3 linked regions of the Arabidopsis thaliana genome follow. The protein of the gene in region 1 purifies or fractionates together with the protein of each later gene. This does not show direct contact. Each region holds a gene or a part of one and is shown in the gene's direction. Other genes may lie near its edges.

Region 1 (3,756 bases):
TCATCATCAAACAAACCAGCAAAGGGATCGAAATCGTCATCGTCTTCAACATTAACAGATTTCTCTCTAACTTCTTCTTCTGCTGCTGCTGTTACTCCTTCTTCATCTTCCTCCTCCGTCTCCTCGTGAACCCTCCCATTATTAACCCTACCAATCGCCGCCTCCGTAACGTTACCACCGCCGCCAAAATCGCAGTTTCTACACTTGTTAGCCATCGACGTAGCGTAGAGACGCTCGACGATGTTATCTCTCCGACGTTTCAGTTCTTGACCATAGTCAAGAGACGCAACAAGAATCGCCGTATCGATAAATGTCCAAACATCAACACCTGCGTTATCCATAACCGATCGGAAATCATCCAAATCCATTATCACCCACACTCCTCCTTCTTCCCCAAATTTGGTTACTTAATAAAGAATTCAAAACGAAAAACAAAAAACAGAGCAAATCGAATTACGTAACCAGATCTAAAAGATGAATCTTTTGATGAATTTGATTCATCGGAGATTAAAAATCGTGAAGAACCAAACAAAGTTTAGATTTCAAATAGTTTAAAAGATAGACAAATAAAAAAAACAAAAAACAGAAGAATCAGATTGGTAAATTCAGATTAAAAAGGAAGACCCTTTACTGTTACGAGGAAGAAAGAAACAGAGGAGGTCGTCTCACATAAGATCAATAATGAGTAAATGGCAAATTAAAAAAAAAAAAGGGAATGAAGAAGAAAGGGAATATTCCAAATTTGAGGCTTTAGAATTTGGTTTGGAGGGTTATTGCTTTTTCTTTCATTCTTCTGCAAGTTTTTTTTTGTTTGGTCCGTTAATAAAAATAATATTCAGACAGAATCAATTAACAGTTTTAGGACAAAAGTAAAAGAAGAAAATGGGAATTGCTTTATTGAGGGATGATGCTCTTTGCCCTGGACAGAGCAAAGCTAAGCAAGTTGGTTTGTTGTGGTTGGGGAGATGAACAGCTCTAGAGAGAGAGAGAGAGAGATGTGAGTGTTTTTCTTTCAATAATGGCGTTTACTTTTTTTAGTTTTTCTTCAAGTGACGAGAAACATTTTACATGTTTCGACTTTTTTGGTTATTGGGCCTCTAAATTTTTGGCCCTATAGCAAGTGGACCCAATATGTCAAATCAATATTTTCATTTGGTCTCAAAGTGTTTGTTTCATGACTTTCATCTCATGAGCCACTGCCACTCACTAATCGTTTAGTGAATTTACGTCGACGGTACAATCAAAACCCCCAAAGAGAAGATCACATCCGAGTTTTTAGGTGTTGAAGGAGGTGTTCGATCCATCAAAGTTTACTTTGTTAGGAAGTAATGTTTATTTATCACTTGTTGAGTGTAGATTATGAATACAATGTCTTTTATGCAATTATTGGAACCTAATATTTATCTCGAACAATTTCGAGCAATTTTTGAAATCTTCAAATCCTTCTCATGTGAGCTATTATGATTTCTTCTGCAATAACATACCATGAACAATTTCGAGCAATTTTTGAATACAGATGTTTTAAATTTCTAATTGATTTGATTCCACACATTAAAACTACGCCATATCCAACATATACAGGCAAAGGTCTTCTGTAAAACTAAATAATGTGAAGCCCACCACCCAACGGATATCATTTTACTATGAAAGGCCCAATGAACATGTTGTTATTCAGTTTATAAATTAAAAATATTTCGGATCCAGATCCAAGCCCGGATATTTGCGGATAATTTGATTGTTGGGAGGATATCTTCCGGATCCGGATCCACCCTAAATTAAAATTGTTCTTCCTCCACTCTTCTTCAAGTTTGGCCTCCGTTTCCAGATTTTTATTCAATTCTTCTTAATCAACTTTTAAAATCCGGCGACTCATAGTCCGTGAATTTTGACCGGCATATCCGGTTTTGGTGTCGTCGGTAAATTCCTCTTCATTGCAGTGGAAGCTGGTTCATTGAGAAATAATGGTAACTCTTTTGGGATTATGAGACTTGTTTTCTTTTGCTTCTTGTTAAATCTATATAGCTTATAAAAACTTGTTTTCTGCAATTTGTGGTTCTTCGCAGGATGCATTTAGAGATGCTATATTGCAGCGAGCTCCAATTGAAACCTTTGCACTCAAGACTGTTCAACACTTTATACAACCTCAGGTAACTCTTTCGAATCAACTAACAATTTCTTCACTCCTTTAGTCTTACTTATTGTCTTTATTGTAAAATTTGACAGAAACAAACAAAGTTGGCTCAAGATGAAAACCAAATGCTTGAAAACATGCTCCGGACATTGCTGCAGGAGCTAGTGGTCTCTTCTTTCTCCACTATTATATTTTCGTGGTATGCGTATATACTTGTTCATTTATATATGTGTGGATTTCTCTTTCTGTTTTCGGGGTTTCAGGCTGCTGCTGCGCAATCAGGGGAGCAAATTATGCAGTATGGTCAGTTGATTGACGATGATGATGATGATGATGATATACATGGACAGATTCCTCATCTTCTAGGTTAGCAATCTCTCTAGTCTGATTTGCATAGTTCGTTCAAACAAGTGCTAGCGTTGTCCCCGTAAAACTTCTTATTCTCTTGTTGTCTATTGCTTATCATCTTGTCCTCACTACTTTTGTCTAACCTCTCACCATCTTCATGTTTTGATTGCTTTGTTAGATGTTGTGCTTTATCTTTGTGAGAAAGAGCATGTAGAAGGTGGCATGATATTCCAGCTGCTGGAGGATTTGACCGAAATGTCTACTATGAAAAACTGTAAAGATGTTTTCGGTTATATTGAAAGCAAACAAGATATATTGGGCAAGGTATTTCTTAAACGAAATCAAATTTTTTCTCGGTTAGTTGTATCTTGTATTTTGACTTGGATGTTGCAATTATTTGCAGCAAGAGCTTTTTGCACGCGGAAAACTTGTCATGTTGAGGACTTGCAACCAACTTCTCCGCCGACTCTCAAAGGTTCGCTATCTGCACCCTTTTCTAGTTCCCTTTGTCAAATATCCATAAGTCATAATCTACTTTTTCATATATAACACATCCACTCTTTTTTAATTCTTTTTTTTGCTTTCACTATTTGGCATACAGGCCAATGATGTTGTATTCTGTGGAAGGATTCTTATGTTTTTGGCTCACTTTTTTCCGTTATCTGAGCGCTCAGGTAAGAAGGGTTTCTCGTGCATATACGATTATTTGGTATGTGAATGTTTAAAAGGTGTGTAACGTTTACTTGCGTGACTTATTCTTTCAGCCGTCAATATAAAAGGTGTTTTTAATACATCTAATGAAACCAAATATGAAAAAGATCCTCCAAAAGGCAAGTGATTTTTTTTTTTCTTATGCTTTTGGTCCTTATCTCCATATGACAATTCTAAAACGTGTTACTTATTCTGTCTATGTCATTGCTTCTCAGGCATTTCTGTAGATTTCAACTTCTACAAGACATTTTGGAGTTTACAGGTGCGTATTAGTTAAAGGAACTTTGTAGGGAACGAATGTTATGCCTTTATCATAAGGGTTGTCTCATAGAACCTCTGTTTGCATATCATGCAAAATCAACATTACTGGAGATAGCATCTCAAATTTCCTTTTGTTAGTTAGTTTATTGAGATAGTTCTTTTCTTACTGAGAAAATTGTTTCGTTTCCAGGAGTATTTCTGTAATCCCGCTTCTCTTACTTCCGCATCTACCAAGTGGCAGAAATTTTCATCCAGTTTGGCGGTATGTGATCTTTGGTTTTTGACTAAATTGCATTACCTGGTCT
Region 2 (3,372 bases), on another chromosome or scaffold:
TGAAATTTCTGAGATTTTGGTAAGATTCTCCAACAATCATGAAGGCATCACTCAGCTTTTCCTTGTCACAGAGTTCATCTGATATTTTCTTCTTCCTTTTTGAATATTGAAGATGCTAAGACATTCAAAGAAGAAATAGCAACCCTTTAGTTGCATGCAAACTTCAAATGGCAGCCTCCTACTTAACTTTCAAAACTATATCACAAGTCATTGAAACAGTGATGCAGAGACTTGGATCACTCAGTATCCGTATGATACAGAATAATCATCGTTTTGCCACATAATAACTTTACTTTGCAAGTTCAGAACAAAGATATTATCCCAGCATTCAAAAGATAGGTTTTCTTGAGAGAACAAGAATCATGTAATTCTTTGATAATATAGTCTTCCTGACTGATCTGAAAAGACAGTGTCAATAGCAGAAGTTCACAAAACTTAAATCAAATCTAAGAAAATAGCATATTTTTCCTACTCCATACTACCTGATGAAATCTCACAATGCTTATTCATCATTAAAAACCCCTACGATGGACAACTTTAACTTCTGGAAACTTTTCAAATAAATGCGAACATGGGGTGGAGTGATAGGACTAAAAAGGAAGGAGTGTTTAAGTTATAAAACTCACCTTCAGCCATGCGAATACCATGCTAGATTTATCAATAAGACTTCCAAGACAAGCATTTACTTGGAGCATAGACTTTCGTTCCTCCGAAGTGCCTTTGGCATCAGTCATTTCTGCAGACAACTTCTTAAGCATAAGCTCTTCTTCTCTCAATTCTTCCATAACTTTCATGGATTTCTTGACTATCTTGGTATTATGCTCTATCTGTTCAACCAATGCACTCTCGTCTTGCATAGATTTCGCTAGACTAGAAGCTTTACCATAACATAAAAGAGCATCAATGTACTTTTGGGTCTTGTTGTGTAATTCAGCGAGATTGATATACCCCTTCGCTTCTCCTTGGACATGATTAATCTTATGACAGATATTAATATCCATCTCAATGTGTTTCTTTGCTTCATCCCAACTTCTCAGCGCCATAAAAACGTTTCCAAGGTTATGATGAAGCCTACTCCGAGCAGCATCATACTCTCTCACCTCCTCTTCATCGCAAATCTGCAGCCCTTTCTTAAGAATAGTACGGGCTGCTTCAGGATTATCAAGATCAAGGTCAAGCATACCGATGTTGTTATGTGCGTTAATATACTCCTCAAGGAATCCGCTAGATTCTCCAGGAGGTGGTTTCTCCTTGAGAATCTGTGCAAGTTCCATGGCTTTCTTAAAGTACTTTTTAGCACTCTGAATGGCTTCACAATCATCCTCAGACTTCAAGAACATTTCATGGTAAGTACGTCCAAGTTGAGTACATGCTCTTTGCTTCTCCACAGTGTCATTAGCTTCTTCAGCTAGCTGTAAATGCTTCTTCTGCAACCACCAGAAAAAAACACAAATTCAAAATGAAAAACTCAAACACCAAAATTATTCACGGAAAATTCAGGAAGCCAACAATAACCAAGTAGGAAAAAGCAATTGATTCAAGAGGGCTTACCTGATAAATCAAGGCTTCTTCGAAATTTTCGAGGCGGAGATAGATCTCGCCAAGAGACTGACAAGTAGGTAACAAATCTTTCCCAGGTAAATACTTGACGGAGATATCGTAATCAATCCTAAACCACTTGAGAGCATCAACGTACTCTCCATGATTCTTAAGGATATCGCCGACATTGTTAGCCCACCTCGCCTGTTCTCTCCGGTCACCCACTTCTTCTGCTTTCCGGTACGCTCTCTTCGCCGCAGCTACATCTAATCGACCCATCGGATGATGATTTCTCCGTTCTTCAATTGAAAGGTTTTTGTTTTCTTCCTTCCGATTTTCAGATTTCTCGAAATTTCTTTCTCAGTGATTTTGATTTTCTCATTTTCTCCAGTCGCCAAATTTTTGGTCCCATCCCAAACTATCCCGCCAAAATTCAAGGGTAAATTAGAAATTTTCATACCCTAAATCCTGAAGTTATAGGCCTTTTAGTTTGGGCCTTGGGTCGAGTTTATTTTGGGCTTCTTATATCCTCCTGTCTCCTGACAAGAAAACAAAAAAACCCTAAGGGTTCTAAGGCACTCGCTATATAAACTATCATTTTGCGCCGCCCGAACCCGAAGAAGAACTCTCTCTTGTAAACCTGCGATCTGAATCTTCCCGGCGGTGAAAAATGGTTGCGGAGAAGAAGGCGAAGAAGTCCCATGAAGGAATCAACAGCAGATTAGCTCTTGTGATGAAGAGTGGAAAGTACACTCTTGGATACAAGTCTGTTCTCAAATCCCTTCGCAGCTCCAAAGGTAAAAATTTAAAATCCCTCTTCATCGATTGATTATAGTGTTCGTCTTCCTCGTAATTTAGTTGAATAATTGTTGGATATTGTTGGGGGGTTTAGGTAAGCTGATATTGATATCTAGCAATTGCCCACCGTTGAGAAGGTCAGAGATTGAATACTATGCGATGCTTGCTAAAGTTGGAGTTCATCGCTACAATGGCAACAATGTTGATTTGGGTACTGCTTGTGGTAAATACTTCCGAGTTTCTTGCCTCAGCATCGTTGATCCTGGTGATTCCGACATCATCAAGACACTTCCTGGAGATCAGTGATTCTGATTTTGATGATTTTGCCATGTTGTTCTCTATGCTTGATTATGCTTTGTGTTCTTCAAAGACTTAATGTTAGATTTCTTTGGTTTCCCGACTTCCTCTTAATGGTTATAATTAATTACTACATTTTCGTCTCTGTTGATTGATTCCTTACACGAAAAGGCTTGATTACTTTTATTACAATAGTTGGCTATTAACTAATTACATGTTCAATTTATACAAAATCATATATAATGGACAATCTCTTAGAACATTTTAACAGGAACCATTTTTTATGTTCTAACTTGTAACAACCAACCAAATTAAATCTCAATTAATCAAATAGAAACCCTTCATCTTTCTACACTTCTCCTCCAACCAACAAATTAAACAAAAGAGATTAAAAACACAAAAGCTCTTCATCAGTATCAACGTTTTCTTTGAGCTTTTTTGGCTATTACTTTAACTTCATCAGAGACAACTTTTTCTTCGTCTCCATAATGGCCTCTTCTCTTTTCGTTGCTATCTCTTTCATATCTTCCTGATACTTAGCTTCTATCTCCTCCAGCTCTTGTCTTAACCTTTCTTCTTCCTCCAAACTTACTGGTTCGGTTGCTTCTTCTACTTCTTGAATGGAGCTCTTGTCTTCTCCTTTGGTGGCATCGACGCATTGCTTATCTTCCTCATCTGATCGTGGGCAATCTGAGTTACACGAGTGACTAACCAACTCACAAGTATCATGAAAAACAG
Region 3 (3,756 bases), on another chromosome or scaffold:
GTCATTATATGAGCTTAGACCGTTGATATGCTGCGTTGGGCCTGCAAATAAAGACATTAAAATGACAAACATTAGCCCAAAGACATGTTAAGCAGCCGACAAAATTAGGCACATCATTCACTAAATGCTGGTTCTAACCGTCTGATGATAAAATATATCTGTCAGCCCTCATGGCAGCTTCACTCCGATCATCTCCGTTTCCAACAGAACCACCTTGACTAGATGAGGTCAGCGGGCTAGAGATGTTTGTTGTTGCTACGAGAAGGAACAAATAAATAGAAATATTGATATAATGCAAACAACGTGAAGAGGAAACAACAATAAAGCAAGGTTTATAACCTTCAGAAGAACGATGTCCATTTTCAGATATGGCATCTACATTAGATGAGGTAAGATTGGGATCACCATCAGACGGAGCTGCAAGAACACACATCATATATAAAACTTTTCAAGCAAATTGTGTACATACCCCAAATTTGTCACACCTAACCTTCAGACGACACATCACTATCAACACTTATCTCATGTGAAACAGAAACATCTCTGTTGCAGTTGGAGTTACTGGAATGGATGAGGGCACAATAAAGGAAACTTTAGTAACACAAGAAGAATATTTTCAATATCACGTTAGATTGTAAAGAACACCATTACGCATAACTAGTTAAATTAGCTGTTAGAATATGTAGGCAAATTAAAGTGGTAAGAAGTAACAAATTTGAAGGAATGGGGATGTAATTGAGTCCCACTAATAATAGGAGATGCAATCAGAAATACTAGAGGCAACATAATTGTTGTGCCAAATTATAGAAAAATCGCAATGTTTGCAAAATTGACAAACGGGAGATGAACAAAATTAGTAGTAGGAGAAGGATGTATCCGAGGCAATACCTGCAACTGAGATCTTCTGCGTCGAGATCCGAAGCAGAATTTGCGAATTTCGCTGGATCAACAACTGTACAGCTGTGTCCCCCTTTCAAGTACTACGACGCCCTCGAGAAGGAGTAGAAGTTGGCAGAAGTTTCCAAGAGAAGTAGGGTTTGACTCGCTTGACGGAGGGTGGGAAGGAACGCGAGTTAGAATTCTAACGCCGGTAACTCCTTGTTGTCACCATCGAAGTCGATTAAAACCAAGATCACCTGATGGAGGCCAGAAATAAGAACAATGGCGATGGTGTAGAGAAAAAATGGCACGCATTGGACAAGAACTGGGGTGGGTAATTGCGTTTGCAATCGAATGAAGAAATCAGAGAGCTATGGTAGGAAATAAGTGAAGAAGTAGGTTTAGGGTGGAGATTTTTATTCGTAGACAGCACAAAAGCAGGTGAGAGACATATTGAGGAACAGTGTGAATGATGATAGCGAGAGAGATGAAAGAGTAATTTACAAAGAGAGAAATACTCAAATCCGAAAGACATAAGTTGGAGTGCCTATTTCCGAAAGGCACAATTATTTTAGTACTTTTTTGTAAATAACTTTAGAAATAAAAACATTTTGGTTAAAAGTGGTAAAATTGACCAAATTTCTTTAATAATATTGGACTAAATAATATTTTACATAATAATAAAAATTAATTTAAAAATACGAAAATAACTATGTTTATAGTGGTCCATTTCATACTCATAGTCATTGATAATAAACTGAAGAATTAAAACTAAATTTTACTGAATTTGAAAAAAAGATATATATATTTCTACGCAAAATATAAAGAAAGAGTCCGTTAAAGCCCAATTTCCTAAGCCTAATTAGTGAATCTCTCAAAACCCCTAAAAGGTTCCTTTAGTCTCTCTTCTCTACTTCTCACTTTTCATTTTGCGCCACCCAAACCCTAAAAGGCAACGAAGGTAAAAAAAATCTCCGATCTCTTTCACACAATTCCTCTCTTCCACCCTCACCGATTTCTGATTCTCCGGTTTCATTTCTCTCAATCTTATCAGTCAAAATCCGGCGAAGATGGTTGCAGCGAAGAAGACGGTATGATTTTTCTCTGATCTAATTCCACAATCCATGAAATTTTTGAGTGTACTGATTTTTTGTTGAATCCATTTCTTGCAGAAGAAGTCCCATGAAGGAATCAACAGCAGATTGGCTTTGGTGATGAAGAGTGGCAAATACACTCTTGGTTACAAATCTGTTCTCAAATCTCTTCGCAGTTCCAAAGGTATTAGAAACAAACTTCTCTGTTAGCTTATTGATTCATAAGCTATTGGTTTTTGAATGTTGTTGTTTGATTGTGTTGTAGGTAAGTTGATATTGATATCTAGCAATTGCCCACCATTGAGGAGATCTGAGATTGAGTACTATGCTATGCTTGCTAAAGTTGGAGTTCATCACTACAATAGAAGTAAGTTCTTTTCATGAACAAAGACTATACATTTGTCCTTACTGGTTTAGTATCATTGTACAACAGTTTTGTTTGAATGTAGTTAGGATTGTTTAGTAGAAATAGTTGTGGAAATGCAAATTATTCTGTGGGATTTGACAGTGAAGCTCTTCTCATTCACCATTTGAAATGCTCCAATACTGAATTGATCTGTTCCCAAGTTTGTGTACGTATTGTATAGATAGAGAGTGTAGTGTTGCAAATTATTTAGTAGAAACAGTTTGGTGTCATTGTATTAGTTTCCTTTATGGTCTATGATTGTTCTGTGTGTATGTGGTATTAGTGACCAATTCTTTACACTGTTTGCACTTCCCCAATAGGAATGCACTTAATACTTAAATGATATGTTCCTGAAAGTCTTGTATATGTTGGATTGTGTAGATAGAGTGTGTAATTTTGCATCTTACAAATCCATTAGGGTGATCCTTGTAGTTGTTTTAATGTAAGGACTAAATGGTGTAAAAGCCTGAACTCACTTATATCATATCAGTTTCCTCCTGCACCAGTGATTGTTTGTTTTATGTTTTCTGGTATTAGCGACCAATTTCAGTGAGAACCAGTGATTCAGAAGTTGTTCCTTACTTGCTTTTTTCTTTGAGAGTCTTGTAAACCTTGATTATGTTACTTAAGACTACAGAAACTGTTTATTTTTGATGAGTCTCTGCAACTATGTTATTTTATTGCCTGATTTTTTTTTTTTGTACTTGTTCCTTTTAGACAATGTTGATCTTGGTACTGCCTGCGGTAAATACTTCCGTGTGTCATGCCTCAGCATAGTTGACCCAGGTAACACACTCATTCATTGTCTTTTAGAATAATCATCTTACACATGCAATGTTAATCTTGGTTTGTTTACTTATGCAATATTTTCAGGTGACTCTGACATCATCAAGTCGCTTCCTGGAGACCAGTGATTTGTGCTTAATTATCATTTTGTCCTCTTTATCTACTTTATTCGAAGTAGTGTGTTTCTTCGTGATTTCTTCTTCTCTCGTCTAGAATTGTCATACTTGTTTAAGATCTTTGAAGACTTTGTAGGTTGTCTTGGTTTCTAAACAATTGTGGTAATTGAAAATTTCGACTCTCTGAATTAATACTAGAATGATATTCCTGCAGTCACTAAGTATTATATATGATATATAGGTTGACAAAAAAAGTAATTCTATGTATAGTTAACATTGGCATGAACACATGTTTTAGGTCTAAAATAAATATTACAAGAAATCTATGTAGTTTTCTCAAAATAAACCTAATTCTTTTAGATTTGGTAGGATCTATTACCAATAGTTTAATACATGTGTCCCTCAATAATCTCAACTCTACACCATATTTACTATTTAGTGTCATATAAAACAATTTCTTAAAAATTGAAATATA

What was found.
Region 2: the proteins of THO1 (region 1) and RLK902 fractionate together in Arabidopsis thaliana (co-fractionation; one large-scale study listed by BioGRID). This does not show direct contact.
Region 3: the proteins of THO1 (region 1) and AT1G36240 fractionate together in Arabidopsis thaliana (co-fractionation; one large-scale study listed by BioGRID). This does not show direct contact.

What each region holds. Positions count from the first base shown.
Region 1 is NC_003076.8:3,064,854-3,068,609, forward strand, and holds the start of THO1 (nuclear matrix protein-like protein), read left to right. Parts: upstream 1-1,724; 5' UTR 1,725-1,961; coding exon 1,962-1,964; intron 1,965-2,063; coding exon 2,064-2,147; intron 2,148-2,223; coding exon 2,224-2,298; intron 2,299-2,394; coding exon 2,395-2,497; intron 2,498-2,657; coding exon 2,658-2,803; intron 2,804-2,882; coding exon 2,883-2,954; intron 2,955-3,080; coding exon 3,081-3,153; intron 3,154-3,243; coding exon 3,244-3,309; intron 3,310-3,405; coding exon 3,406-3,452; intron 3,453-3,641; coding exon 3,642-3,713; intron 3,714-3,756. Other genes in the region: AT5G09850 (Transcription elongation factor (TFIIS) family protein), read right to left, coding at 1-368. UniProt on the Arabidopsis thaliana protein: Acts as a component of the THO subcomplex of the TREX complex which is thought to couple mRNA transcription, processing and nuclear export. Contributes to the integrity of the endogenous trans-acting small interfering RNA (ta-siRNA) pathway.
Region 2 is NC_003074.8:6,451,228-6,454,599, forward strand, and holds RLK902 (Ribosomal protein L7Ae/L30e/S12e/Gadd45 family protein), read left to right. Parts: upstream 1-2,075; 5' UTR 2,076-2,209; coding exon 2,210-2,336; intron 2,337-2,431; coding exon 2,432-2,643; 3' UTR 2,644-2,791; downstream 2,792-3,372. Other genes in the region: TSK (tetratricopeptide repeat (TPR)-containing protein), read right to left, coding at 1-115, 627-1,427, 1,552-1,818; WNK6 (with no lysine (K) kinase 6), read right to left, coding at 3,080-3,372.
Region 3 is NC_003070.9:13,612,941-13,616,696, forward strand, and holds AT1G36240 (Ribosomal protein L7Ae/L30e/S12e/Gadd45 family protein), read left to right. Parts: upstream 1-1,949; coding exon 1,950-1,970; intron 1,971-2,051; coding exon 2,052-2,157; intron 2,158-2,238; coding exon 2,239-2,340; intron 2,341-3,096; coding exon 3,097-3,165; intron 3,166-3,252; coding exon 3,253-3,293; downstream 3,294-3,756. Other genes in the region: AT1G36230 (uncharacterized protein), read right to left, coding at 1-41, 139-255, 340-417, 491-561, 889-970, 1,087-1,111.